Diceros bicornis minor: one gene and its partner. The protein of the gene in region 1 interacts with the protein of each later gene in a pairwise test. Links are inferred from orthologs where the notes say so. Each region holds a gene or a part of one and is shown on either strand. Other genes may lie near its edges. The genes, in order: ADARB1 and PRKRA.

The links.
Region 2: the proteins of ADARB1 (region 1) and PRKRA interact in binary tests that used the Homo sapiens proteins (3 or more experiments, as listed by UniProt). The link is inferred for Diceros bicornis minor from reciprocal best matches to the Homo sapiens genes ADARB1 and PRKRA.

The regions. Positions count from the first base shown.
Region 1 is NC_080766.1:44,480,663-44,496,331, forward strand, and holds the start of ADARB1 (double-stranded RNA-specific editase 1), read left to right. Parts: upstream 1-8,807; 5' UTR 8,808-8,895; intron 8,896-15,669. UniProt on the Homo sapiens protein: Catalyzes the hydrolytic deamination of adenosine to inosine in double-stranded RNA (dsRNA) referred to as A-to-I RNA editing.
Region 2 is NC_080749.1:58,882,888-58,898,654, forward strand, and holds the start of PRKRA (interferon-inducible double-stranded RNA-dependent protein kinase activator A), read right to left. Parts: upstream 5,717-15,767; 5' UTR 5,602-5,716; coding exon 5,537-5,601; intron 4,964-5,536; coding exon 4,794-4,963; intron 1,764-4,793; coding exon 1,682-1,763; intron 1,674-1,681; exon of another isoform or gene 517-1,673; intron 1-516. Other genes in the region: PJVK (pejvakin), read left to right, coding at 7,784-7,994, 8,741-8,936, 9,462-9,603, 11,002-11,119, 12,553-12,651, 12,873-13,165. UniProt on the Homo sapiens protein: Activates EIF2AK2/PKR in the absence of double-stranded RNA (dsRNA), leading to phosphorylation of EIF2S1/EFI2-alpha and inhibition of translation and induction of apoptosis.

The DNA of each region.
Region 1 (15,669 bases):
AGAAGGTTTTATGGGTGTGTCCATTTTGGGTTAATTCATCCAGTTATATGCTTATGATATGGGTACTTTTCTGTACACATATTACACCCCAACACAAATGTTTAGAAATACACGTATGATGGCCCCTTTTCACAGCACCATTCACAGCTACTGCACGTCCTAGTAACTCACATGTAACAGTCGTCTGGGGCCCTGAGAATTCTAGTTTAAAACTGCAAACTACAGGATCTTGACTACATGGTAGTTGCAAGTCCCCCAGAGAGAAGGCTTTAAATAACCACATGAGCCCTCTAATTTGTCATTAACCAAACTTTCATTAGGCACGTGTTCAGCCTCCAGCCCTCTCTGAAAAGGCTCCTGGAGGACAGAGAAGAGGGAGCCGGGGTCCCTCCCATGGTCCCTGCCCTCCTCCCTCCTGTGCCTGCTTCAATTCCTAATTGCCTTTGGGCTTCTCAAGAAAGACTGCTAACATAATAATTAACAGATAATTCAGCAAAAAAGAAAAGCTCCTTTTACTGGTTCTAGTCATTATTTCAGAGTATATGTTCCCAGGAGCCATACTGTTTTAGCATCTGATTTATAAAAAAATCTCCAACCATTCAAAAGAAGTTGGTGCAGCTGTTAATTTTGTTTGGTTTATATGTTCTTGTAGACCCATTTATCCCACAAAGAATTGCGGGCGTTTGGCAACACCAATCCCTAACATTCATAGTCCTGCAGAACTTCGAGATGTTTGTTTTATTTAATCCTCACAACCATGTGTGATGTCATTGCCCCAACCTCCCCACTGAGAATCAGCTTCCTCACTAACCCTTCCCCACACACCGTCCCATGTGACCCTCACGCAGCCCCCGCCTCTATGTAGGGCATGTCGCCCTCGCCATGGCTCTCATATTGCAAACTCTGCTGTGACACGTCTCCTGGGAAACACATGCAAGCTTCTTTAGGGTGCATGCTTAGCAGAGGGACTGCGGGCTCTTAGGAGACCTACATCCCCTCACATGAAGATTCCACATCATTTCCAGAGTGGTTTATCCGTGTGTTCCCGTGCGCACACTGGTTAGGATACCAGCTTTATCAGTCTTGAGACCTGGCGGAGGACTTCTCCCTGGTTCTCTGTCTTGCCCATCTTTCTTCTTTTTTTTAAATGTAGGGTTTAAAATATACTTAATATGCTATTTGACTTATCAAAAGGTTATATGTAACATACATGTAAGTTATAGAGCATCATCCATGACCCCTCACTCCTCACCACCCCACCCACGACTGAGACTTTTTCCAGCACCTTCACCAACATGCTCCTCCCCAACCTATTTATACTCAATTTCAAGTTTTGCAAAGTGGTTGCAAATAATACTCCCACCAGCAATGTTCAAGGGTTCTGGTGATCCACATCCTCTCCAACACTTGATCTTGTCAGCCTTTCTAACTGTTGCCTGTATGGTGGGTGTAAAACAGGATTATTGTGATCTGAATCTGCACTTTCCTGTGACTCATGAGGTTGAACATCTTTTCATGGGCTTATCAGCCATACATGTTTCCTCTTCTGTTCATGTCTGTTGTCCATTTTTTATTAAGTTGTTTGCCTTTTCTTATTGGATTTTAGTTCTTTATATATCTTGGATACAAATCCTCTGACAGTTATATGTGTTGCAAACATTTTCTCCTTATTTGTTGTGTCTTTTACTTCATTGTATCTTTTAATAAACAGACGTTCTTAATTTTAATATGATCAAATTATCAATCTTACTTTTTATGGAGAGCACTTTTTGTACCTTAGGAAACTCTTCCTTCCTAAGGTCATAAAGATATTTGTCTATATTTTAAAAGTTTAAAAGCTTTGTTTTCCTTAATCCACGTGGAACAGAGTTTTGGGTAGGGTGTAAGATACATGCCTAATTCCCATTTTTTCCCAAATGGACAAACGTGTGTCCGAGCATCATTTATTGAAGTCATTCCTTTCCCCACTGATATGCCTCTTCTGTCATATATCAAAATATGTGTGGGTCTGTTTCTGGACTTTCTATTTGCCTTCAGTGGTCAGTGTGTCCACCCGTGGGCCAATAACAAATGGCTTGATTTACTATAATGTAATAGTAGGTCCTGATAGTTGCTGGTACAAACTCCCGCCTGCCGCTTCTTCTAGAAAAGTCTTGGCTCTTCTAGATCCTTTTCCTTCCTGTTATCTACTTTAGAATCAGTCGAGTTGTGTAAAGATCCCTGTTGGAAGATGTATCAGAATTCCATCGAGTCTGTAGGTAATTTAGGGGAGAAGTGGCACCTTCATGTGCTGAGGTCTTCTTCTTTATTAAAGTGGTGTGTCTCCACATTCACTTGCTCTTGCTCTAAAAAAATATTTTTTCTCCTTAAAGAGCATACACTTCTTTTGTTAGATTTATTCTTCATTCATATTTTTGTTGTTACTATAAACAGGTTCATTTTTCTAAATCACATGTTTGTTGCTGTTGTACAGAAATTGGTTTTTTTTTGGAGGGGGGTGTTGATTTTATCCTCTGTCACCTTGCTAGATTCTATTAACTCTAACAGTCTACCTGTGAATTGTTTTTTATTTTCTGCTATGTAATCGTATTACCTGTGATTAAGTATTCCTTCTTCCTCTCCAGCCTTCATAGATTTTATTCCACTGTGATGTCACCCTCTGTGGTTTGGGCTCCATTACGTGCTGAACAGGAGTGGAGCGAGCGAGCGTCTGGCTTTGTTCCTGATTTAAAGGGACTGTTCCTTACCTGTCACCACAGTCTGATGTTTGTCTCAGGTGTTTGTAGGCACCCTTCATCTGGTTAGGGAAGTTCCTTCTATTTCTAGTTTTCTAAGAGTTTGTTTTTCTGAACGTGAATGTCACTGGGTTTTATTAGAAGCCTTTTCTGCATCTATTGAGATGATCACACAGGTGTTTTCTGATTTACATTAATATGTTTTAAAGTGTTAAACCAGAGTGACATTCTTGGGTAAACTCAACTTGGTCATAACGTTCTTGTTATCATTTTTACATTACTGGATTTGGGTTTGCTGAGTGTTCTGTTTAGGATTTTGTGATAATTTATTTAGATTTTGTTTATGAGTGAGGTTGGTGCATGCTTTTTCTCCCTTAGGCATTCTTCCTAGGTTCTGAAGTCAAGATGATGTTGGCCTCATAATATGAGGTGGAGAGTGTTCCCTCTTTCAGTCAGTTCTGTCCCCAACACTCCACTGAGTTCTCAAAGTCACCATGACCTCTGTGTTGTCACATCCATTGAATTTTCTGTCCTTGCTCTATTTGGACTTGTCATTTTTCCGATTTACCTTTTCTTTTCTGGTAGGTTTCTCGCACCTGTCAGGGTTCCCCAGCCCTCTCTGCTCACCCCCTCTGTACCCCACTCCAATGGGTGAAGGTCTTCGGGTCTGGCCCAAGTCCTCTCCTTGTCTCTCCCCTCCCTTTAGGCAATCACTTCCATCTTCATGGTTTTCCATGTGTACCCCAGCACAGCTCTCTTCTCTGGACACCAATCTTTGTATCTTCCTAACACAGCACATGGACATCTGACAGGCCTTGCAAACTCATCAACCAGAAGGGACTCCTGGCTCCCCCCACCCCCAGTCATTTCTTTTGGTCGTTGTTCATCTCGGTGTCGCACCATCACCCTCCAACATGCACGGCCAGAATCCTGCGTCTTGGTTTGGTTTGCCCCCTCCACACCCCTTCACCCAATCTATCACCAAGTCTTATCCAGTCTCTTTCCAAAAACAACCTAACTCTTTCCACCTCCACTGTTCCCACTGGAGCTAGGCCATCAGCACCTCACCTGGGTAGTGTGCTAGCTTTAGAGCAGACATCCCTGGTGGCCTAACAAGCCAGTGTCCCCCACTAATGGCCCCCTGATTTTGGTGTGCATTTCTTTCCCTCCCCCAGACACTCTGTGTACTTTGACAGGAGTGGGTCTAAGTCCCAGCTCCAGGGACAGGCCCTACTTGGCTTAAACCAGGGATTGGCACACTTTTTCTGTAAAGGGCCAGATGGTAAACATTTTAGGCTTTGTGGGCCACATATGTCTCTGTCACATATTCTTCCTTTTCCCCCAAAGCTTTAGAATGTAAAATTCATTCTGAGCTTGTGGGCTGTACACAAACAGCCCACCTCAGGTCTCCACGCCTCTGGTTGAAGCACTCAGCACATCCCATTTTGCCAGTGGTTTAGGGAGGGTGGGAGATCCGAGCAGTCCAGTCAGGATGACTCTCCTGACAGAAATGCTGACGGAGAAGTCCTCTCTCCTCCTTTGAATCCATGTGGTATGGAAACCTCCTCCCTCTGCCTCGGGCACCCTCACCACCCACGCCTCCTAATCCTTAAAGCTCGGCTCAGAGGCTGTGGCTGCAGGAGCCTTGTCCTCTCCTGAGCAGGGCGGGCTGCGCTCTTGGACCCACGCACTTGCACACCTCTCCCTCTGCCACAGCACCCACGTTCTTCACACTGCAGCCATCCACACGTGGGGCTCCGGGCCAGCCTGTGCGGTGGGCATAACTGTCTCCTTTCATGGATGGAGAACAGGCTCAGAGAGGCTGGACGACTGGTCCAGTCACACTGTGTGGTGGAGTGGGGTGTGAGCCCTGCTCGACCCTCATGCCTGTCTCCTCACACTAGACTGCCTTCCAGTTACCACACGGCACCACACCCTTTCCCCATCCACCTCTCGACTCCCAACAACTGGAAAGTGATTCGTCATCCTAATCATCCCTGCTCACCCCTGCGCAATACACACTGCCTAAGGCACCAAAAAGCCACGAGAATGTTCTCAACGTCCTGTCTCTTCTTGTCTCCCCATAATTCTCACGTCAGGCCGGCTTCCCCTGATAGGTAAGCACGGCAAGTGATGAAGACCACCCTAACCACCCTGGTTTCAGCGTTTCAGGTCTGGGCACACAGAGAGATACAGCGTTGTCTCAGTGCCAGCTCCACATTCCCAGTGAAATCCCCTGGAGCTGGGCAGTGGGAGGTGAGTCAATGTTCCAGGGCACAGACAAGGCCACTCCTGGTCCATCTCTCCACCAGGGGGATCACTGTGGGGGTTGGGGGACCCCAGAGAAGCAGGCATGTTGTGAGCTGGGCAGATTCCATGCAAGGTGTCTGCTCCCAAAAGAGGTGATTGAGAAGGTTTAGTACCATCTGGTTTTTATCACTCCAGTCTCAGGCTTCTTAAAAATATGGGACAAAAAATATTATGTCTCAAATAAATGTATCCCAGTGTATGGGTTACATTACAATTTTATCTTCTTATTAGCAGTTTTATCTTCCTGGTTTTTTTAGAAACCAAGAAATCAATAACCTACTTTTAGACGACAATCTAAAAGTACCCGTGAGTGCCCTTTCCCAAACAGACAGGGCGGAATGAAATAAAACAGGCAGTGCACGTTTTCTCAGACACACTTTTGGTGGTGCACAGGGACCACAGGGAAATGGATTTCAAAAGGCCTAGGAAAAGGCTGTCCTTGGAGTTAAATGATGGAAATTCCCACAGGTGCATACGTCACAGGCCGGCAGGCACTGTGGCTGTGATCCCGGCGCAGTCTCAGCAGGACAGGTCGGGAGTGTGCTCACCAAGTGGAGGCAGTAATGGGATCACGCTGTCACCCTGTGTGAGCAGAAAGGGTGGCAGGGCCTAGAAAGGGGCCAGAGAGCCAAGCCGGGACAGCCGGGTCAGATTCAGGGCCACCAGCCTGTGCTCAGGTCATGTGGTTTACCCCTCTGGCGGCCACCCTCTGCTGGGCAGTGACGAATGAGTGGTTTCTGTACCCGTAAGCCTTGAACACATCCTTGGTCTGAAAGCCTAGGATGTAAATGAAGGCAGAGCTGCTCCCTCTGTCAGCAGTCAGCTGGGCACCTCACCTCTCCTCCCAGCAGCTCCCAAACGGGCTCCCAGGGCCACAGTCTGATATCCAGCCGACCCTCCATCTCCTGGTCCACTGGCGGTCTATGTCCTAAGGTCATTACTAGTGCTTTTGTACCGTTCTGTCCTGAGGCATCTGCAGTGCCTACAGTAATTCCTAACTCTGCCTGTGGGCTCCAGCTGCATGGTCATGCCAGCTAATTCAGCTGAAGGAAAACCTCGGCCAAGGCAGTTTCCTGGTGTTGTGTAGACAGTGTCTCCCCAGCGGCTGAAGTTTCATACTCTTGTGTAAAACCTAACACCACGTCACTGGGGCAGACAGAGGGGACCACTAGATTCCTAAGGGGAGCATTTGAGCGTCCTGTTCGTTTTCCAGGACTCAGAGTGATACTTTATTTTCACACTTGGCATGGTGAGGTAACCAACAGAACGAGCGTCTGGGGGTGGGGCGGGGGCCTACACCTGGATGCTGCTCTGTGTCCTGAGGGCCAGGTCGTGGCTGGCCAGCACAGTCACAGCTGCCACCACCTCTGTGGAAACCCAGGGCCCATCCTGGGCGCCCAGACGTCTGGCATTGATGGTGGACAGGGGCAGGTGGGCCTTCCATAGGAGGCTGTAGGATCCCTCATCAAAGCACCCGGCCTCACAGGTACTTGAGCGGCGGCAGCGGTGCTCCCAGGCACCTGGTAACGCCCCACGGCTTGGCCCCAAATCAGCATAAAGAGGCATGCTCTGCATGCCATTCTGCCAGGTCAGGGAGGACGCCGAGGTAAACCTGTCTCTGGAGATGACGTGTCTGAGGAAGACTAACAGCAAGGGGCCACCCCGGGGGCTCCTCGCCTGTCACCAGAGCAGCCCAAGGGGCCAGCCAGCCAGCAGGAGCAGATGAAGGTCCTGGTCACGGCCACGTCCGCTCTCTCCTCTGCTGCTGAGGGACAAAGGATGACATCGACACTACCAGCTCCGATGGAAGGGCAGTTATGTTGTTTTCCCTGGTAAATGATACTAAACGAAGGCCTGTAGAAGATGGCCACAGTGACGGCACTCAGTGAATCATGCGTCCCTTTACCACACCCCTGTGCAGTTCCTCCCGCACGGACTCAGGGCTTGGCCCTCTGACTTACTTTGGCCAATGGGACTTTAGTAAACACGGTGCAGGCTGGAAAACCCCTGTGCACCGAGCTTTCCCTTCCCTCTTGCTGCTGACAAAGTCGTACCACCATGAGAAGCAGCCCTGGACAGCCTGTGGACGGTGGGTGACACATGGCTGGTTCCCACGGCCCATATGAGCGGGCCCAGCCCACACCCCACAAAGCTGAGACGAGCCGTCCCCCCTTGCTGGCCCAGAGGATCATGAGCAATTAAAGGATTGCTTTAAGCCACTTGGTTTTGGGGTGGTTTGTTACACAGAAATAGACATCAAGTCCTCATGCACATATTTGTTTATTAAGGATGAACCCCTAGAGGGCATCCCAGGAGTCTTGATTTTTACTTAGTTGCCAACAAGCACCCCTTTGGACTCTGTACCTGGCGCTTGGCCCTCAGGCAGGGTGATGGGCTTGCCTGGGAGCTGGCTGGCCCAAAAGACAGGTTTTTCCTTTCCCCCACACAGCAACCTGAAGTAGGTAACCAGCCTGTGCAGCACGTTCCCCTGTGGTTAACTCATGCTTCGATCAGCGAACTTTTCAGGGGTGTTCAGCTCTGTTGTGGGACTCCAGGACTAACAGTAGTAGCTAGCACGGACGGGTGCTTACCACATGCCAGGCTCTGGACTGGGCTCTTCACCTGTCTTAGTCTTCTCTTCCCCATTTTACACATGATGAAACAGGCAGAGATGCCAAGAGATGACTAAGGCCCCACAGCTGAGAAGTGGCAGCAGCTGAACTTGACCTCGGAGTCTGGCCTCTCCCAGGGCCCCTGTGCAGGCGGAGACCCCAGGCTTGCCAGGCCCCAGCCCTCTCTGCACCCTGTTGTCCTCCTAGTAAATCACCAACAGCCAAGAGCACTGCCTGGCTTGTCCCGGCTCCTCCACTCTCAGCACCCGCACTCAAAAACTATAGTTTTTCCTTATTAAACTTTATTTTCTGTTCTGAAGAGAATTGCAGCCTTGGGTTGGTTGTTCTGGTCTTCGGAAATGTTACATTTCTACACATGCTTACCGTCATGCGTGTCAACATCTCCTGGTATAACCGTGGAACAGTCAGTAAATACAGATAGAGGAGTAAGTTTATTGCATACACTGTAAAAAAAGCTTTAAAATGTCTTTCCTCTCAACCCCACCAACCCAACCAGCGCCTTAACTTCGGCAATGTGGACTTGCTTCTGATCCCACTGAGAGGTCTACACAGAAATGTTGGTAGGGGGGGCACCTCTGGAGTCTGGGGACCCGGACCCCACCTTCTCCTTCAAACAGGACCCCGACTTCCACCGCACAGGCAGGGCCTCGGCTCCACGCCGCTCTCCGGGAAGGCGGCCGAGCCGGAGCGCGCGAACGCCCGGCTCACACCGGCCTCCAGGCGGGGACGCGGCGCCCTCCCGGGGTCTCGGCCCCCGCGCCGCCCGCCTCCCCGACCCCGCCCGCGGGAAGCCAAGAGGGCCTCCTGGGTCCGCGCGCCCCACCATCGCCGGGTCCACCGATCCGGCCACCGCAGCACCCTGACCACCCCCTCCGACCGCCCCACCCCGACCCGCGCTCCCGACCCCGCGGACCGCGGCGGGCTCGGCGAGGCGTGCGTGCGCGCGCACGGGCTGCGTGGCGGCGGCGCCCGGCGTGCGCGCGTCCGGGCGGGGGCGGGGGCGGCGGAGCGCGCCGTGGCCGAGCTGAGGCTGAGGCTGAGCGCTCGGAGGCTGAGGGCGAGGCGGAGGCTGGGCGGGTCTGGCCGCGCTCGGGACCGCGCTCGGGGCCGCGCCAGGACACGGCCAGCGCGCCGCAGCCCCGGCGGCCGAGGGAGCCCGCGGAGTGGCGGCCCGTGCCCGGCGCGGCGTGCGGAGCGGACTGAGCGGCCCGGCTGAGGTGAGCGGGGGCGGCGGGCTCGCACGCGGCGGCCGGACACACGCGGGCAGCGCCGAGCCGCGTTTATGTAAGCGCCGCGGGGCAGGTGGGCAGGCCGGCCGGGCGTGCGGCTCCCTCGGGACCCGGGCTGCCCGGCCGCGGTGTCCGGAGGGGCCACGGGCCGCCGGGGACGGGAGGCTGCGCCCGGACTGTCCGCGTGTCCTCCCCGGGCGCCGCGTCTGCGCGGGATGCTCTGCGCCGGGAGAGAGGAGGCTGCCCCCCGGGATGGAGGGGGGACTGCGCCCTGGGATGGAGGGGGCACTGCGCCCCGGGATGAGGCTGCGCCCGGGGATGGAGGGGGGACTGCACCCCAGGATGAGGCTGCGCCCCGGGATGAAGCTGCGCCCCGGGGAGGGAGACTGCGCCCCGGGATAAAGGAGAGGCTGCGCCCCCAGAGAGAAGCTGCGCCTCCGGAGAGGGAGACTGCGCCCCAGGATGAAGCTGCGCCCCGCCATGGAACGGAGACTGGTCTCTGGGATGTAGCTGCGCCCAAGGGGTGGGGGGACTGCGCTCCAGGATAAAACTGCGCCAGGGGAGTTGGGAGACTGCGACCCGGGATGGAGCTGCGCCCCCGGGGAGAGGAGACTGCGCGAGGAACAGCCTCGTCCCTTCCCCGGGAGTGCCGCATCTTCTCCGGATGCTCTCCGCCCCACGGAGGAAAGATTGCGCCCGGGGATGAGGCTGCGCCCGGGACGGCCCTGCGTACCCTTCGGGAGGGCACCGTGTCCGCGCGGGAGGCTCTGCGCTCGGGGAGGAGAGAGTGCGACCCCGGGATGAGGCGGCTCCCAGGATGAGGCCGCGGCTCAGGGGAGGGGAGGCTGCGCCCCCAGAATGAGACTGCGCCCAGGACCGCCTCGCGTCCCCTCCCGAGGGCGCCGTGTCCGCGTGGGATGCTGTGCGCCGCTGGCGGCCCTGGGTGGGGAAGTTCCCGCGGGTGCCCGGCGTCTGGAGCGATCCGGAACAATCTGGGGCGATTGGGGGACCGAGGTGAATTCTGACGTGTTCAAATCTGCAGTAGGAAAATTACCGGGTTGTGGTTGGGTCCAAGGGAGGGTGTCAAATTGGGCTGTGGACGCTCAAACGTGTTGGAGTTCCGATTTACATGGCGAGAACCTAAAGTGTTCCGGTCCGGATTTATACGTCGGAAACCCGCGCTGTTGTGTTTGGTTCGCAGTTCATGTTTTGAGCCAGCAGGTTTGGGTTGTTTCTTCTGACACGGGCGTTTGTTTGCGTCTTAACGCAACCGTAATGGTTAGCGTTCCGTTCTGGAAGTGTAACAAAAAGTGGTTTGATATCAACCTTGCTTCTTTACTCTTAGTGCCGTCATTAAGGTCCTTGATCAGTGAGTTTTGGAATGGAAATGTTTATGTAATCCTCTTCGTTCCCTCTTAAATTTGCCCGTATGTTTTATGCCTTTGAAAGGTGCCACTTACAGCTGCATTTTTCAAAACACTGGGTTGTCTTAAGAGCAGTTCCTGGCAATGTCTTTTGATTACTATCTTTTCTTTGGGGCTGAAACTACTTTGCCCCCTGCTCGCTGCGGGTTTCCCAGAGGGGAAAGGAAGAAGGAAAAAAGGCAAAAGGTTGACTGATACTGCTCCATGCTGGATAGGAGAGTTTGCAGGATTCCTCCAGAGGCAAGATCCTCTGGACATGGACACCCACAACAGGGCTAGATGAATATTTGATGAGACACGCTGAGCTGGGTGCGGGATCCTGCTGGAGGTGGAGGCAAGGGATGCACAGGGATTTGAAAGGAATGCATTGTCTGTGAGTAATGCCCTGCTAGATGTCTGGGGTTCCTGAGACTGAGTATATTCAGCCATGTCTTCAACAAATTTGAAGCTATAGTTGGAAGGAAAAAATGGAGGCCTTTCTGCAGGGGGCAGTGGTGAAAAGAAAATTGGTCCAGCTCTGAGAGGTTGATGACACATGTATCTGGAGGTGCGACGTGCTCCTGAAGTCAGTCCTGGGAGGTGAGGAGAGGAGAATTGGCTCATGACATCAAGGACAAAAACTTCTGGCTCACAGGCTGATTCACTCCTTTGTGGATTTACATGGCGTAAAGGCATTTCAACTGCTTTTGGATTTTTGGAATAAGAAAATTCTTTAAATTTATGTTTGTCTGGTGAATGAATAAAGAAAACTTAATTCATTTGATAAATACTTATCTGTGGCTTACTTTGTCTAGGCCCTCCCTGCTTTAGGCCTGGGGATGCAGTGCTGAAGAAGATAGGCAGAGTTTAAAACAGTTCAAAAGCTGGTACTTTGTTTTATTAATCACTTTTATAGCATTATATTTTTTTAAAATAAAACTTATAGTTTAGTTATAAAATAATAAAATTTAAAAATGTGTAGCATCAAAATTTTTATTTATAGATTTAAAAATGTAAGCATGCCCAAAGTACATTCAGAGATACAAAAAGATGATAAAACCTCATCCCATTCCATCCCCAGCCACTCTTATCCCTCCAACTGCTGTGACCAGTTGATTGTGTATTCTCCCAGCAGGAATCAAAACATACACACGGTTGTATGTTTTAATATAGTTTTTAGTATTTTCTATAACAAACTGAATATTTTTTATACATATTAATCATTTTTTATTAATCATCAAAATTCTTTAGCTGTAAGGTTTATTTAAGAACTGAGTTTTAGTCCGTTGAGCTCTGTGATGAGCTATGTAAGGACTTAGGAGATAGATAGAAAATACACTTTGGAGATTAATAAGTGAAGTCATACATTTACCAGCTATAAGAAACTTGTTTAAGAAAAATTATCAATCTTAGTATGAAACTGAAAAGCTTAGAGAGGTCCAATTTTATTAGAAAACCTGATGGTTTTTTGTGTCAGTTTTCTAAAATGTTAATTTCCAAAATCAGTAATTTGGTGTGATGGACATGGTGGTGTTCAAAAAAATCTTTTAAAAAATGTGTTCATAACATGTGAGGTAGGAAAGGCAGATAGTGAGACTTTCATTTAAAAATTGTACATTGAAGTCATTAAGATTTCCTTAATCCTTGAGTGACTTTTCTCTCCGGTGTGACATTTCATTTGGCACGTGGACAGGGAAATGTGGTAGCCAACAGAGGTCTTTGTGTGGCCTTGCTGCATAGCTTGACAGCTGTTGGGCCCAGACCATTAGTATCAAATAATCACATTTTTTCTGTGATCTGATGAGTGGTACTTGCCACTCTTTTCCACCTGTATGTGTAAGGTGTTCTGGGAGTGTACAAAGGAAAAGGACTTTGGTTTTTGGTTTCATGTCTTTGTGATGGATTTAAAATGAAGAAGGGGCAGGGAGGGTGGATGGAAGTAGCTCTGAGGGGCCTGGTATTTTGAGTGGAAGTGCAGTGAAACTCTGCTTGTCTCTAGGTTACTTCTCTTTCACTCACAGCTCACCCCGCAGGTGTTTACCACGTGCTGGGTACTGTGCAGGTGTTTACCACGTGCTGGGTACTGTCCTAGGAGCTGGAGACGCGGGCGTGAACACAGCAAGGATAGTTCCTGCCCTCGTGGGGTTCACATTATGGGGGAGGAGGGGATGGTAAACCCCAGCTAACATTGTAAGTGCCGGGCGGTGGATGGGGATCAGAGAGAGGGCTCAAAGGGTGGAGGGCGCTGGGTGCTGCCAGGCAGCGGGAGCTCTGGAGTCAGAGCCTTGGGCCTGAGCTTCCTGGTCCTTGCTAGTAATAGCAGGGAGGCCAGGGTGGCGGGAGGGCTGGAGGGTGGCAGGAAGTGAGACGGAGAGGCGGGTGGGCTGCATCTCGTTGGGGCAGGGGCTGTGGTAAGGAATTTAGTCATAAATCTCAATGTGATGGGAAGCCTTCCCATGTGCCTTCCTTCCTTCCCTCCTTTCTGTTTTTCTAGTTGACTTTAGAGAGTGTTGAACAAGGGAATGACAAGATCTGATTTATCTTTAGAAAGAATCACTCTGGCTGTCATGTAGCTAATGCTTGTTAGGAGCTTGTGACGTGCCAGGCCAGTGAAGCGCTTTACATGTGTTATTTAATTCTCATGCGAGTCTAGAAGGTGGGTGTTACTGTTAGTCTTCCTGTGTTACTTGTGTGTAAAAGTAGGCACAGAGAGGCCACAGAATTGTGGCACAGGCAGGATGGCCTGAGTGTCCACACTGCAGGGGCCTGCAGTGACCAGGCTGGGCCTGTGCAGAGGTGGCATGATCAGACCCGGCTTGCTGGATTTCATCACGTGTCAGATGCCGTTGATTGTAAGTTGCAGTGTTGTTTTTTGTACTATTAACAGGAAAATGCTGCCAGTTGGACTGTAATGTGCTTTCTTGTCACTTAGGTTTCACTTACGCTCAGTGAGAGAGCTCTTAGACTTCAAGTGTGGACTTTTAAAATCATACTGCTCTGTGCTTTTATAAAAAAGGAACATACGAGTGAAATAAAGTAATTCTAAAATTCTTCCCGTTCAGAATCCAGTCCTTCCAAGTCGGCCTTTGACTTGGCGCTGATATGGTGCTGTGTTGTCCACTGTGCGGTCACTGAGTGTGGTGGAGGCGGCTTTTCTTAAGACCGAGCCACTGCTGTCTCTGGGGTGTTGTCCCAGCTGCCGATACCCGGTCTGCAGGCTTGGGTGCTTTCTTGATCTTACTGGCAGGTGTTAAGGAGAGGTTTCCGGTCCTTGAGTGATTTGTTGACTGACCTGTTGTTGGGTCACCTCCGAGAGTAACAGCTGAGTTTGAGTGTGCCAGGGCGAGAGTAATACACTCGCCTCCTGCCCGTGAGTGGGATAGCACAGAGACGCCACCAGTGCCAGGCGCTTCCGCTTTCATGGTTGTTAAGATGTGGGAAAAGGCACGTCTGAGAACTGATGCACTGGGGCATGCTTTGCAGACGGACCCATCAGGATTGTCAGTAGTCTCTCTGTGAGATAAAACATCCCAGAAGGACCCAAGGCCCTTGGCCTGAGCGGTTGGCTGGTGCTAGTTATGAGATGGGGAAGTCCGGCAAGAGCAGGAGTCTGGGTGGAGCGCTCGTGGCGGGAGGCTTCAGATGCTCCTGAAGGCAGTTCCTCAGCCCGCAGACCAGACCTCGGGCACGTGGATTGGATCTTTGTTCCGCCACGTACCAGATGTGTGATCTTGAGGAGGCTATTTAATCTTTCTGTGCTTCAGTTTTCTCATCCATAAATTACGAAGAATAGTAGCAACTTGTCTCCCAGCGTTGTTGGGTCGATAAACACAGCTAACGTGAAGTGCCTGAAATAGTACCTCCCTGACAGTCCTTAAGAGGGTTTACTTTGCTTGTTATTTTTATGATTAATCATCTGAGTGGAGATGTTTGGATACCCGTGGAAATTCATGGTTGGGTTCAAACAGAGGTTGGGGCCAAATATGTAAATTTGGGACTCATTTGCATATCGATGGTATTTGAAACCATAGGCTGGGTGGTGGCTGTAGATGCAGAAGAGCATAAAGGCGAAGACGGAGCCTGGGGGCTTTTGGCAAGGGGTCCGGAGCGGAGAAACAAGAAACCAGGGGTCTGGCTGCAGGAATCCAGGGCTGAGGGAGTGGTTAGCTCCCTCTTCTTCTGCTGGGGAACTCTTGGCTTTGATAAGAGGCAGGTGGCCTTGTGGAGAAGAGGTGGAAGTGGGGAAGTGGGGAACATTGAGGGTGGAGGAATCTAGAGGAGTTTTGTTAAAAGGGGACGGATTAGGGGCCGGCCCCGTGGCTTAGCGGTTGGGTGCGAGCGCTCCGCTGCTGGCGGCCCGGGTTCGCATCCGGGGCACGCACCGATGCACCGCTTCTCCGGCCATGCTGAGGCCGCGTCCCACATGCAGCAACTAGAAGGATGTGCAGCTATGACATACAACTATCTACTGGGGCTTTGGGGGAAAAAATAAATAAATAAAATTATAAAAAATTATAGAAGGGGACAGATTAATGGGACAGTAGCTGGAGAGGTCATGTGCTCAGGGGAGTTTTTTATTTTTATTCTTTAAATGAGAGCAATTATAGCGTGTTTATGGGCTAATAGGAACGATCCAGTAGAGAAGGGCAGATTTATAATGTGTTGGGAAAGGGGGTAATTGCAGGAGGACAGTCTTTGAGAAGGTAGGTGGGGGTGCTGGAGGAGCAGGAACAGGTCGGCCTCAGGAGCAAGGCAGGACTTCTGTGCATGGGAACCTTGATTCACTTAAAACGTATCTCTAAAAGACACACTGCCCTTGGATCTAGTTTCTTATTAGCTTACAGTGCTAAACACACCTTGGGACATCCTCACAGAAAGACACGTGGAAATGGCGTTTTTCTTTGTTAAAAAAATTCACTTGTCTCTAAAAGTATCATTAATTTACTGGAAGTTGGCACCTTTATTCACCAAATTTGGTACTACTCAGACGACTAGCAAGACTTGGCTCCTGATTTGTGCGTTATTTGTCTTAAAGTTCTAGAGGACAATGCCAGTTTTGCATCCAGGACAGCTCTCCCACCTCCTGGAGAGGGAAGGTGCTGCTGCTTTCGGCCCGGTAAGCTTAGGTGCTGTCAGGGCCGCAGCAGTCACTTGAAGTTGCCTGTTAAAATAGCTTTCTTTTGTGTTGATTTGTGTTATCTTTCTTGTGTGTTGATTTGTATTATTGGTGGTTATTTGATTTTTTTTTTTTTTTTGGTGAGGGAGATGAGCCCTGAGCTAACATCCATTGCCAATCCTCCTCTTTTTCCTGAGGAAGATTGGCCCTGAGCTAACAACTGTGCCCATGTCCTTCTATTTT
Region 2 (15,767 bases), on another chromosome or scaffold:
GCCTATGTCTTACTTACCTTCATAAGCTTTGTAGCACTTTGCATATAATAGGTGCTCAGCTAAAATGTATTTAAATAAAATATACTATATTATAACTACATGAAAAGGGAAGACTGACTATTAGTCATGAAATTTAGCGTGGCAATGTGAATAACACAGATCATAAATACTGTTTTTTCATCTAGAGAATTATGGAAGAAAGATCTGTTTGACTTATCATTTGCTCTATGCAAATGATCCCCCTAAGATCATATGTACCCTGCATAAAATAGATGGCCTACATGAATCTGGTTTCAGCATGTGGGAATCGTGATTAGGAAAAAAGAGAACAATCTCCTCTAAGTAGCCTGAAACTACTAGTTACTTGGGTGACGGGTCCCTAACACTGACACCTAGGTCACTGAAGAGTCATTTCTTCCAGGACAAATGAGGTTTACTTATGGCCACTTCCCTAAGTTTCTAACTGCCAGAATTTCAAGCTTTACATAGGCTGATGAGATACGAATATTCACTTACAATGCGCACGCCGAAGCTACCCAAATAATTGTGATGGAGAAGTGAGAAAGTCTCTGTATTAAATCAGGCCACTTTAGGCCTGATTACAGCTTAGTAATTCCCATCTTATCTGTCAAGAAGCACAAATATATAGTAAAGTGTGTTAGCGTTTTTTGCTGACAAAGTGAAGTGCCCAGGTGCAGGAAGGACACGCTGTACACTCATTTCTACGAATATACTCAACACTTTGGGTTGACCTCTGGGCTCCACAGAAACAGCATGGCCATCACCAGCGAGAGGAAAATCCAATACCTGCCATGCCATTTGGCATGTCTGGAAAGCTAGCATAAATCAAGTATAATGTATGACCCTAGAGAATCAAGCATCATTTTATAAGATCCAAGGCTTATCACTGGTTAGTTCTAACTACCAAATGGTTTAGAATGACTTAGAAAGGAGGAGCACTGCACGAGAGCCTACATACATCTCTAAGCCAAAAGTTTTGCTACGGATGGGGAACAAAACACCATCCTAAATTCCCATGGGCTTCTGCTGTCAGCTATGAGCAGATTATAATCCAAGTCTATCTGAGTGCATGTAAAGAAGAATTTAAAGGCACTCCATGTTGTAGGGTGTACCCATTAGAAACCAAAGGACACCACTTTATGACACATGAGATGCTCCAGAACCAACTCTCTTTCCCAAAGCACCTAGAATAACAAATTTACTTTGGAAAGATATGTCAAGAATTAACATCCCACTTAACATCCTCTGTATTTGGTATACATCCTACAATAAAAGGAAATCTTTTTGTCTCCTTCCAAATTAGAATTCCTAAAAGAGTACTTTCAGTTGATCTTTTTCCACCTTGTTTTCTTTAGTGTAGAAATAATTAAAGTCTTAATGCAGTAAGATATTTGCCAGAAAAACTCTGCTTTGCTACTGTCACAGCCCATCTACAAAAAAAAAAGCCTAGTTCGTGAAAACCATTTAATAGTTACTTGCTGGATTTAATTTAAGGATAAAGTTGTCTTTAATGGATGATAGGTTTTCACAAGGAAGTAGAATTTTCCAGCTAGATACTAACAACTGTTCACTTTGTTGCTTTTGTGAGCATGTTCAAACTTTTAATCTTACCTCAGCCATGATATTTTTGAGCTGCAGAATACAAAGAAATTTAGCTCACCAAATACTTGCATTGGCTTTCAAAATGTTTATGGCAGCCTCTGCAGCTCTGTGTTTCGCCAGCTTCTTACTTGTACCTTCACCTGAATTAAGGTTAAAAAAAAAACCTTTATATGCTGTGAAAATGTGAGGCTTTCACATAATGCTTTTCATAATACAAAATAAAGTTACTACAGGTTTTATATATACACACTAGGTAATAAAAACATAGACTACATACAATTATATACTGTAATAAAATATTCACCACAAAAAATTAACACATTTAAAAAAACCGTGATTTTAGAAGTTCTACACATTTAACTATGTATACCTATATAAAGAATTCTTATGTCTACATTATATATGTTTATACACAAAATGGTAATAAAGTAGACCATGTCACACCTTCTAAAGAAATGCAACTTAGTATTTAACCCTTCCCTTATCCCTAGAGAGAGAGAATTCTTCTGAAGCAAGAAGTTTCCTTTAAGGGAGCCACTTACAACACTGTCTGAGAGTAGAATGTGCACAATTTTATTCCAACAGCCCATCCTCTACTGCATTAAACCCCTCTGATTGGCTAAGCAGTCATGGCCACATGTTGGGAACACTGGGGAAGGTCTATATAGGGAAGAAGGTGAGAGCTTATGTTATGTGTCTTCTATACAATCTGTATCTCTTACATGGGTAGCTAACGGGGTGGCAGGAGACGGGCCTTACTAACCACTGAGACTGATGCCTAACTGCAGAAAGCAATCACACCTGGTAAATGGTAAATTCAACCTTTTTCCTTCTGAGTTCAAACCAGGTGTTGAGAACCCTCTGAAAGTGGTATGAGAATGCTGATGTCCATTCCTCTGGTGTGGAGGAAAGAAAGGGGACATGGAATAAATTTCAAGTGTGACCCTCAAGTGTCAGAGGACACACAAATAATACTCATTCATCCACTAACACGGGTATTAAGGGTACAGCAGAGAACTAAACACAGTCCCTGCCCTTAAAGAGCGCATAGCCTCGTGAGGGATTTCGTCTGTAAACAGGCATCTGAAACATGGAGTAGTATGTGTTACGACAGGCCTCAGTGCAGGCTGTAGGAGGCACATGAAAGGCGCAGCTCCCGACTCTTGGGAAGGATTCAGAAAGGTTTCAAGAAGGAAGAGGTAACTAAATGGAGACCTGAAAGATCAGTAAAAGCTAGCAGAGTGAAGAGAGCTGGGGGTTTGGAAGAGCATTCTAGACAGAGAAAAGACCCCTGCCAAGGCTCAGAGGCAACACAGAGCAGGGTGTGCTCAAGAGCCCCAAGTAGGTGGGTACAGTAAGAGCCCAAGGGGAGGAATTTTCAGATAAAAGGCGAGAGAGTTGGACGGGAGAGGGAGAGATTAAGGAATAGTATCCTAAATTTGTGTTTCTCAAATTTAACGTGCATAGGAATTGCCTGGGAATTTTGTTAAAATGCATACTCTGATCCAGTAGGTCTGGCATGGGGCCTGATATTCTGCATTTCCATCATGTGCCCAGGTGATATCAAGGCTGCTGTTGATCACATTTTGAGAAACAAGGTTGTAAGTCATGTTAAGAAATTTGTATTTGTCCAGAGGTTGATGGGAAACCACTGACTGGATTTTAAGAAGAGAAAGTACATGAACAGATGTGGACGCCAGAGAGAACACTCTGGTTGTCCTGTGGAGAATGGACATCACAAGACTAGAAGCTGAAAGAGCAGCTACAAGACTGTAGCTATATTCCAAGTGGGAGATGACAGTGGCCCAGACGGTAGCAATGGGAAAACGAGAGAAGCAGACAGATGCAAGAGATATTTAGGAAGTAGGAGATGGTGACAGTCTGGACAAGGAGAAGGAGTCAAGAAGATGAAATACAGATTTCTACTGTGAGAAAATCAGTGGTGGTGGTGCCTTTACTGGGTTGGGGAATGGATGTGAGAAAAAAGAAGATGGATTCAGTTTGGGACAATGAGAGACTGAGGTGCCTTTAGGTCATCCTAACAAAGATGCCCAGCAAGCACAGGCTGATACACTGTTCTGTAACTGGGCCTGGGCTGAAGATAGAGATTTCAGAATTATCGGCCTTTAGATAGTATTTGAAGCTGTGGAGGCAGATAAGCTTGCACAGGAAGACAGGGCAGTGTGAGAAGGGTAGGGGGCCAAGGCAGAATGGTTACCATAGATTGTTAGGCTCCAGTCTAAAACACACTGAGGGAAAAAAGGCTACTTTTTCTTGAATTTTCACTGAACACTTAAAAATAGACCAGCTAAAGCACTAATGCAATGCTGATTCTATGGTTCATATGAGGAAACTTCCAGCTGGCACCTACAATCCACCTGCCTCATATAAACAAAAAAGCTTCAAAATTTTCTTAAAGTGGCTTCAATGAAAATAGCGGACTCCAGCTTTTCAGGGACACAAACAAATGACGGCCTCAGATGACCAGATGGTAGAACTTCAGCCTTCCTGCTGAATTTTTTTCTTGGCATTATTCCAAATTAAATTTAGTATTCAATATTTTTTATGTTTCAATTAAATAAGATACCTAAGAAATAAAATGTCTACATTTACAAACGGGCAACTTCAGTTGTCAGTTGCTCAAGTTCACAGACCATAATAAAGTTGAGTTTGAACTCTGAAACTTCGATGCTATGTGACTTTGGGCACATTACTTATGATCTCTCTGAACCTGTTTCCTCATGTATAAAAAAGAGATAACGTATTAAATATCTGTATAGTATCAGGAACTAGAAGATGCTATGCAATATAGTGTAGTTGAGCCTTCTGCCTTCCTCATTTTGCTTGGATACAGAATCGAGTGTGGTGCAAGGGGCCCAAAGTGCCTAGTGAGTCTAAGAACCTTTCCTGCTTCTCCCTAATTCTAGGAAGAACCATAGGAGAGTCCTAAGGTATGTTTCTGAGCTTGTCTTGGTATCTGGGGAAGAGAAAATTAGGGAGAGAATCAGATGAACTTGGAAAGTTCCAATGACCTGAGATGAGAGCTCTCAGTTTCAAGAGGCTGCTCCTCACCACTGTCTCAGGTAAAAAGGGCACTTTTCCGAACTGCAAAGCAATACCAAGTCTTGACCGCCAACCCGCCTGGTCATCTAGGTTAACTGCATACAGACCTGTGCAGGTTATGTCACCAACGGTTACTCTGAAGGTGAAAGTGGGCACGTGTATTTGCACATCCGATCTTTCACATTCATAAACCGGGATGTTCTTGGTCTTCATGCCGTATTCGTGTAATACCTGAATCGGTGTTTTCCCTGGCTTAGCTGTAATCATCTTCCCCAAACTGCAAAAACCAGAAAAAGGTGTGCTTTGCATGCCAAAGCGGAGAGGGAGGCAGAAGCAGACAGGGGCTAGTTCTGATCGTTATCCACGGTGACGCGGGAGGAGCCGAAGGTCCCAGGCGGCCAGGGCCCGAGCTGGCGAGGCGCACCAGCCTCCCTGCCCCGCTGCGGCGGGCACCGGGCAGCGGCGGGCAGGGCGAGGGAGGTCTTTAGGGGGCTAACTCGAATGCGCGAAGGAGGGATTCGTAGCAGAATAGGGCAGGCACCGGCGCTGCGACCTCTGAGGACCAAGCCCACAAATGCCTTTCTCAGGGTGGCGGCCGCGCGCCACCTCCGCCCAGCCCGCGCACCGCCCGGGGCCGCAGGAGGGGCGGGGCCCGGCCGCAGACCCCGGCCCGCGCGCCGCCGAGAGGGCGGGACCGAGCGCCCGCCGGTCCGCCCGCAGCTGCGGGGGCGAAAGCGCCGCGAAGGGGCTTTACCCAGAATGCCGCTGGAGAGCCGGCTCCCCCGCCCCCGCGTCTCTTGCCCACCACTCCCGGCCCTGCCGGCTCGGCCTCGACTGCCCCGGCGCTGACCTGAAGGTCCCGCTGTCCTGGCGCTCCAGTGGTGGGGCCGCGGCGCGATGCCTGCTCTGGGACATGGCGAGAAGGGACGGCTCGGCGGCCGGAGGAAGAGCAGTGCGTGGCGACGTGCTGGCTCCCCCGGTCGGCCGGTCCCCGAGAGAAGCGCTCCAGCGCCACCGCCGCCGCCTCCCCTCCTCCCACTCCTCCTCTCCTCCCGCTTGCGTCCCTCTCGCGAAGGGGACGGGCGGGGGGGGAGGCGGAGCCTCGGTGTGGCAGTGCCCGCCCCGGCTCCCGGCCACGCCCCCTCGCCGCCCTGGCTGCGGGCCCTTCTCCGTGCCCGGCCCCGCCCACCGGCTCAGGGTCTCTCCGGCTCCGGCCCCGCCCTCCCCTCCAGACCCCGCCCTCCCCTCCAGACCCCTTGGCCTCCCCGCCCCGGCTGTCCTCAGCTCCTGCCCGCGGCCCTCCCTTCGGTGCGCCGGCTTATCGGCGCCTGGCCCGGCAAGGCCGTAGTTCTGTGTCCTTAAAAGGAGGGCGTTTCTTGCCCGGAGAGAAGGCTTGTCCGGCGGGCGAGCCTCACAGTGTGTGAGGCCTGAAGCTTAGACCTTTTTTTTTGGCGGGGGAGTTAGGGCGTAGGATGAGGGCTGCGTCACTTTAAGAAAAAGATTTCAAAATTCCAAATGCAAAATTGCTAGAGACACTCCCCGGGCCTGGCCCCGAAGCTTGAAACTGGCGGAATATCCGCTCCTGAGGGCTGCGGTGGCCCTCAGGAGCTTTAGGAGCTCGCGAGGACATCTGAGACCCCACTCCTCTCCCGCCAGGTGGGCTCCATTGTCTTCTAGGTTTTGGTCGCGAGAAGAATGCTGAGCCACCGGATCCCTACAAGACATATTACGTGTAGACGAAGGCTTCTTATGGTACCTGATTCCAATTAAATGTTGTTTCTGCACACCTGTGTTGTTGGTTGTAATGGCGTTTGCCTGGGATGCACCACTTTTGGTGGAGGTCAGACAGCGACATTAGATGTATCGCTTTTCTAGGGGTTTGCTAGCCACTTGCAGAAATCACTTCGTGTGCTTTCTCGGTGTTCTGGAAGATTGCTTTGCCCAATGGTATTGGCAGGAGGGGCTATTATTAAAAACTTTTTTTTTTTTGGTTGCACGTGAGCCCTGGATGCTTGAAAGTAAATGAAAAAAATGTCTAGAATCTAGTAAAATTGATTTATATTATTTGAGGCTGGAATTAAGCCTATTCTCTCTTCCTCCCCCTACCCCCTCAATATGTGTATGTATGTCGATTACTACCCACTAATGTTATGTTTTAACAAATATCTTATTTTAAGTACCACATAGCCACTATTTCAAAATATATTAACATCCACATAACTATGGCAATACATTATTTCAGCACTCAGGTTTGTTTCTAAAATTTGTTTTTATCCACAAAATTCCTTTAAAAACAAGCCAAAACCTTATATAGCTCTTTTTAAAGGTTGAGTAACTGGGATAATAATCATGAAACAAAAAGAAAATAAATGCAGCAGGACCCCGTTTCAAAGAGATGTTGTCTATGTGCCAGCTTCAGAGTAAGAAACCCAAATGTCAGTATACAGTTATGTAATGCGGCTTTCATTTAGTATTTTACAAAGATCTGCATACAATTGTTTCCTTATATTCTATGAATTTATATTTTATATTAATCACTTGGTTTTGTAAGCATACAGGGAAAATGAATGAAATGCTCAAACAGTGAACTGTATACCATAAGGATTCCAAACAGCACTTTTCTGTTGCCAAAATTGGCATGATGGAGTTGTAAAGGAGTTCCCTTTGGACTAGGTCCACTGTAGATGGTGTCCAGGGCTAATGTTAGTGCCTAAATTGCATCGTTCCCCATAGGGCTATATGCTTCCCTCAAGACTGGCAAACCACTATCAACTGTGACCCTCATCAAAGACATTGGTAATGTAATTATTAGTTTTCTGTGTATTTTAGTGCTATAGACTGCAATTCCAAATTAGACTTGCTTTTAGTATATCATTTTACACCGTTGATCTATAATTCATTACCTGAGCACGCCAGGGGAGGCGGTGTGTGTGGATTGTACACTGGTAAACTACTTGGTGAAACTATACTTTGTATTTTTAGCAGGTATAATTATATTTAAAGTCAAGCAAGGCTTAGTTTTGTGCCTGATTTTCTTTGAAAATATGGATTTCTTATCTGAGGGTTGCAGTTGATGATGTTTTAATACTATGTTAATATGTTTGCTGCTGCTACCAAGAGCTTTGTCAAACAAGTTGGAGATGGAGGGAGATTAGTTCCTGTTCCAAGCCTCAGTGAGGCTGACAAATACCAACCTCTAAGTCTGGTGGTAAAAAAAAAGCGATGCTTTCTGTTTCCTAGATATAAATTTACCTCAACACCTTTTACACTGAAAGATGTTCTTCTAGGAGACAGAGAAATTTCAGCTGGTAAGTTTAAATGTCTGTTTGGGAGGGACTAATTCAGCTATATTATTGGTGATCTAAACATAGATTGTATATACTACTTATGTTCCTAATATTGACACATTTTCATTGATAAAAATAACTTTTATTACTATGGCAGTAATAATACTAAGATTAACAATGCCTAAAGTTTATACAGTATCACATCTCTTATTAGTTGAATAATTTTCAAACCTATTTTGTAGGATTATTGTATAATCTTATTTTAATTATTTTGTAAATTGTTTTAACCAAATCAACTTAGAATATGACATAATATAATTCTTCATCTATAATATGGGGTATTGTTTACTCTTACCTATCTCACATGATCAAATGAAATGAAAGTAATTTGCATTTATTTTTTTATGATTCAGTTATTACAGTTGATAAAGTGAAATGTATTAGAGGCTGGATTAGAAAATAAATTGACATTTTGACAAATTATTTCTTATAAAAACTTGGTGTTCTTTCAACCGCCCATTGGATCTTGATGCCTAAGAAGTTCTGTTGGCTGAACATAGAATTGAGTTCATTTTAAGTACTCTGGCTATTTATTTCTTTTTGTTGTCAAATTAATTAAATTGCTATTTTTAATTTTGGTTTGAAATGTTGCCTTCCTCCACATTTGAGTAATGGAGTCTTAAATAGAAAATTAACGTGTTACTATATGTAATCTACGTTAGATGAATTCAAGACATTTAAAAAATATTAATTTCCTTTTCTTAAAGGTATTTCGTCTTATCAGTTACTGAATTATGAAGATGAATCAGATGTCTCACTCTACGGAAGGAGAGGCAACCATATTGTGAATGATGTTGGGATTAACGTTGCTGGATCAGATTCCATTGCTGTAAAAGCTTCGTTTGGTGTAGTAACCAAACACGAAGTGGAAGTATCAACGTTACTCAAGGAGATCACTACACGGTCAGTATAATAATCCTTAATATACTTCACTGTTTTCATTAAATATTTTAATTACGTAAACTTCATTACAAAGAATGCTTAAAACATTCAGGTTGTATTTTACTAATGTAATTTATTTGTTTGATTTGTTTGAAATATTACAAATTAGTAATATATGCAAACTTTGGTAGATATCCACAATCATTTGGTTTAAACAGAATTTTTAATTGTTCCACAAAATGGCTTTGGCTCTGCACGCATTTGCTAAATTATTGGATTGAAAGAATATAGGAATCTGCTTGCAACAAATATAAGAGAGTCTCCTCCAATACACTCCTATAACAAGCATGTTTTAAGAAAATAGAAAGGAAAAGCAGATTATTAAATGTCTTTTGAGCTTACTTTCTGATTTGTATTAGGCCTGCCTTGATTTACTTTTAGTTAAGGTGGACTGTGCATGAGTAACACCTGATAGCAAAAACTGTATTTGATTATATGTAATTAGATGTTACAGATTCTTGTGAACGTCTCTCTTCTTCATTTTAGAAAAATTAATTTTGACCATAGCTTGATACGTCAGTCAAGGAGCAGCAGAAAGGCGGTATTGTGTGTGGTCATGGAGAGCATTCGAACCACACGACAATGCTCACTGTCTGTGCATGCTGGCATTCGTGGGGAAGCCATGCGGGTAAACCACACTCATTGGGCTTCTCTTACTAAAAAGCTGCAATGGGAATTTTTAAAAAGTATTCAATTTCTAATGAGATGTGTATTTTGTCAAATGTTGAGATTCAAGAGCTGCAGTTGTATATAGGATTTTCCACAGTAATGGTTTGTTTTAGAATATGAAAAAAATCCAAGAAAATTTGGATTCTAAACATGTATAGTATAATGCAAACAAAACACCAATCCTTGTGAAATAATGTGCATATTGGAGTTCCTCCTATTACAATTTAAATGCTGTTTTAAGAATAATAGTTGAATGCTTATGTTGAATTCTTTGATTTTATTTTTAGGTGATTTTTAGTTTGTACTTGAATTTTTAAAAGTTGAATTTATATATATATATTTTTGTGTGTGTGTGAGGAAGATTAGCCCTGAGCTAACATCTGTTAGCAATCCTCCTCTTTTTGCTGAGGAAGATTGGCCCTGGACTAACATCTGTGCCCATCTTCCTCTACTTTATATGGGACACTGCCACAGCATGGCTTGACAGGCGGTGCATAGGTGTGTACCCGGGATCTGAACCTGCGAACCCTGGGCCGCTGAAGCAGAGCACACGCACTTAACTGTTACGCGCCACTGGGCTGGCTCCGAATTTATATTTTTAATTAAATTAATCTTTCTAAAATAATATTGTCAATGGGAAACATGCTTCATTCAATGTTAAATCCTTTTTAAAAGATCTTGAAGGTTATTTGTTTAATTTTTAGCTCAATTATGATACTGTTTGTCCTTGTCATTTACATAATAATGACACAATAATGACTTGATTGGTTTTATTAAAACCAATTGCTAGAAAGATAGAGTTCAGTGATCATCTTTTTAAGTCTTTGCAAATAGAGGTTCTGTTCACTGGCTACATTTAGCTGCCCACCACATTGTTTATCATTGGATTATTTCTTGGGCACAAACTGAAACATTTACTTAATTGTTGGTGATTGCTTTGGAAAATAAGTTGATGATTGCTTTGGAAAGCTGCTGAAAGCTCTGGGGGCTTTGGAACAGTAGACAAGGTAAGTGAAAAACCACTGTAGCACTTAAACTCACTGAGTTTGCAGTTGAAAGAAAAAGAGCTTCTATGCCAGAGAGTATTACTGTTGTGGTAGCACTGATCATTGGCTCCAATACCAAAGTAAGTGAGAAAGTGGTGAGTGGCATTTCCTAATATAGATCATGAGTCCCCATCAGATCAGTTGGACCTCTGCTATAAACAGTTTAATTCAAGTAGGATAATTCTTTACTTGGAGTGGTGGTTTTTTTTTTTTTTTTGGTAGGATTGTAGGAAATATTTTGTTTCTCCAAAAAGCTATCCTTATATGTTATGCTTCTTAATAATGTTATTCAATTTACTTATTTAATATAGTTTCATTTTATGGATGAACAGAATCCCAAGGGAAGGGACAAAGCCATTGTTTTTCCAGCACACACAACCATAGCTTTCAGTGTTTTTGAACTCTTCATTTACTTGGATGGTGCCTTTGGTGAGTGAATGATTTGCATGAAACACTGAAATGATTATATTTTTAAGAAGAATTTAATGGGAAACTCTCTCTCTCTCTCTCTGAGTGTCTAAATATAGAAGAGTGATGCTCTCAGCTGTCAATCTTATGCTTGGATGAAGTAGCTGGGAAAGACCTTCTGGTCCCTGCTTACCCAATACCTCTTTCCTGCTTCTTGGTGAAGGCTGTAGTTTCCCTACTACCCCACTTACAATCATAGATAAGAGCTAAAACGCAATCCACTGACAAAGTATTCCTTGACTTACATGGGGAGATAATAAATGACCTTCTAACAGGTAGTTTTTGATGAGGGCAAATAGAGGAGTAGGTAGACAGTAAGATGCCTGAAGGTGTCAGGGTGCCCAAACTAGGGTACCCAAAGACAACTTTTCTTCAGTTTTACCTATCACAGATCCAGCTTCCCAATTCTCCCTAAGAAATAACTTTAAAAGTACAAATACTTCTTCCAAAATTGTCAACTTATATCATACCTCAGTGCAGTTCACTTTAGATTTCTACATTTCGCAGGTCTGTAAGATTAGGAGCCCAGTCAGTTCAAGGATGGACATAGCCCAAGGGACTAGGCAAGGGAGCCCCCTAGCTATGGTAGTTTATAAACATTTTTAGACCTGTTTTTGTTTGTTTCTGCAGTTCTGTGGGAGGAGGGAATAGAGAGTACAGAAACAAAAAAAACATGCTGATTAAATTCTATTTGGGACACTTCAGGTGTAGGTTTTTACACATATTGATTGTCAGTAGGAGTATAAACTGATAGAACTGATATATCCATCAGAATTTAAAATGTGAATATACTTTAGCCTTACTTACACTTTTAGGAATTTATCCTACAGATATACTTACACAAATGTGAAATGATATGGGTATAAGGATATTACTTCATAATAGGAAAAGATTGGAAATAATCTTAAGATCTATTATCAGCAACTAGGTAAGTAATGGTGCGTCCACAACAGAATACTAGGAAGCCATTGAGAATGAGGTAGCATTATAGATGCTGACATGGAGTAATCTCTAAGAGATATTTTAAATAAATAGGCATAGTATGTAACTATTTGAGCCTAATTTTATATACATGCATACATACATATCCTTTTATGCTTGTACAATATATGGAGTATTTCTGGAAGTACACACAAGTAACTTAAAAGTGGTTACCTCTAGGGTGGAAAACTGAGGCTGGGGTCAAGGTAGACTAGAGACTTATCTGTCACTGTATCCCCTGTGTGTATTCTTTTAATTTTGTACCATCTGAATGTTACCTTTTCCAGAAATATGTAAAATTTAACTTAAAAAAATAAAATGAATGGCATGTACCAGAATTCATCAACCACAACTAAAACTCCCAATAAAATGAGTTGTACAAGTTATAACATCTTCTAAAATTTTTTTTATAGACCTTTGTGTCACTTCAGTGTCAAAAGGAGGATTTGAAAGGGAAGAAAGAGCAACGTTTGCACTGCTCTACAGATTGAGAAATATACTATTCGAGAGAAGTACGTCCATTGAAGAGTGTTTCAAATGTATTTTTTTTCTTCTCGGATTGACACTTGAGGTTATCTATTCAATAATCCTGTCTGTTAAGGAAAAATTTAAACTTAAAAGCTACATAATTTCTTGAGCGATGGTTTAGATTCACGTAGTGTTTATAAATGCAGATTGGTTATATGTTTTTTGTTTTGACTTCTGACACATTTCTCTGTTTTTGTCCTTTTAGACAGAAGAGTGATGGACACCATTTCTCGTTCACAGCTTTACTTAGATGATCTTTTTTCTGACTATTATGACAAACCCCTCAGCATGACTGATATTTCACTCAAAGAAGGGACACATATCCGAGTTAACTTACTTAATCACAACATTCCAAAAGGACCTTGCATACTCTGTGGAATGGGGAACTTTAAAAGGGAGACGGTTTATGGGTGCTTCCAGTGTTCTGTCGACGGGCAGAAGTATGTGAGACTTCATGCAGTTCCTTGTTTTGATGTCTGGCACAAGAGAATGAAATAAAATGAAAAATGAATGTACCTGGCTGGTGTTTTAGGTGCAACTATGCCACAGACTTGTTCCAAAGTTACATAGGTTCACTTTTATGAATTGTGGCAAATTAGGGAGAGGAGAGAGAAGTTAACCTGTCTGGGTATCATTTTCCTCATCTATAAGGTGCAGATCATAATAGTGTCTACCTCATAAATTGTCATGAAGACCAATGATATTGTTTATATATTATAATTATATTATAAAAAGGTTTAAATATAAAATTCAGAATATAGATGTTCCTTCATAAAATCCGCCAGTCATTTCAGAAATATTTTTGGGATTTAGTCTATCGTTTTAGATAACTTTTTACATAGAGATTGTTCTAAATATCAATTTTATTTTTAATTCAACATTTAAGGGTGACAAGAATGCACAAGTAGCGACTTTATGGTGCTTTAAGTATTGCCCTAGGTCTGGTAAAATGAGAAAAATGTGTTAATAATTTAATGTAATCCTAAATGTTTAATTGCAGTATCAAATTAAAAGCACAGAGCTCAGTGTGGGGTTTTGTGTACACAGTTAACAGGGTGACTGATAGTGATCAGTCACTATCAGTGACTGCCATTCTGTGGCAGTCATTCTGTGATGCCATTCTGTGATGTACATATGCTGGCTAGTTTTGTCTTTGTAAAACTGACTACTGTCATTTTAAAGTTAAGGCAGCTAGTACACGTTTATTTCTTTTCTCCTTTGAAAATGTTTAAAACATTTAACGTATTTAGTTCTGGGAGATCTTTTTCATCTACTCTGTAAGACACCTGAATTTTTCATATACAAACAACTTAAACTAAATTATTAATTTGCTATATACCCTTATTAAAATAATTGCAAAAATAATATGTTAAAATTCTAGAACTCAAAATGTATACTTAAAGCACTCACTATGAGGTATACACCTATGAAGGTATAAAGCAATTGTGTAAATATAAATACATGTATACTATATGTATGGAGAATGATTAAAATTTTATTTTTTAATTATTTAACTGTTGATTCTAGTTTTAGAGTAAATCTGCCTATTCATTTAACTTCACCTATAGTTTTTCATAATTTTATTTATTTATTCCCCCAAAGCCCCAGTAGATAGTTGTATGTCATAGCTGCACATCCTTCTAGTTGCTGTATGTGGGACGTGGCCTCAGCATGGCCGGAGAAGCGGTGCGTTGGTGCGCACCTGGAATCTGAACCCGGGCAGCCAGCCGCGGAGCACGTGAACTTAACCGCTAAGCCACGGGGCTGGCCCTACCTATAGTTTTTCAAAACATAAGTTTAAAAGCGCTTTGTATGAAAACAATGGGACAGAAAGGTTAGAATTATAAATAGTTTCTATTATAGGATAGTTTCCATATCTATTTTCTTTCACTGTATTTTTGTTTTGGGTAGCATATATGATTTGAATGCAATATGAGTATACTGATCAAAAAGGCTCTAGTGACTTTTTTATATGGATATAGAGAATGAGGGCAGTTTCCAAACCCAAACGTAAGAATACTGAGTTATCAACTTAGTTTTACTTCAGCTATTCAGGTTTTTCTGAGGGAAGTAAAGGGATGAGAGAGAGTTGATGATTGAGCAAGTGAGAAGGAGTTATAAACTTGGGTACAGGAATGAAGAAATATTGGGAGTAAGAACAGGTTTTTGTTTCATAAAGTGTCAAATTCTGTGCTGTGCGTATGTGAGAGCCACTAATCTGGTGGGTTTTGTGTTACCCCTAAACTTTTAAATAATAGAATTTCTAGCAGTATATCTAAAGAGGTTAAAAGATGAACAATTAACAATGATTTGAAAGAGCAAGTTTCAGAAAATGGAAAAACCTTTGTTTTCAACTCACTTGTTTTGAACAGAGCAATTTACTGCCTGACCATACTTCCTTACATACACAGTAGGGCAAATCTTACATGTTCCAATAAATATGTGCCCTTTCTTTGGCACCAATGTGATGATCTACAGCATCTCTTACCTCTTATTCTCAACAAGTGGTACCACGTCATGATTTGACTGTGACACAAAATTGCCATAGCACTGTATATCCTCATTTGTATCCTATTTGATATCCTTACAATCCTCATGTGTAAAATAAATTCTATACATTTATCAAAAATTTGATGGCATACCAGTTGGTAATGCTCATTCATGATTAATAACAAGAACATTGTGAAATAAAGTAACATAGGATAGACACACCTAGAGAAAGGGAACTGGAAACTAAGAAATACCATGGCATCCCATTTAAAACTATCAGGACAAAAAGTTAGGGATGGTAGATATAAAGGCCTATGAGAAGGAAGAATAGTGGCACATTTATAATGATGTCTGAAGGAGTACAAGACTCAGCAGTATAGACTTTATTATGCCTGCTATAAGAGACATAAAGGCTTTGGTTTGATCTTTAAACATTCCCCATTGGGGCCAGCCCCGTGGCTTAGCGGTTAAGTGCGCACGCTCTGCTACTGGCGGCCCGGGTTCGGATCCCGGGCACGCACCGACGCACCGCTTCTCTGGCCATGCTGAGGCCGTGTCCCACATACAGCAACTAGAAGGATGTGCAGCTATGACATACAACTATCTACTG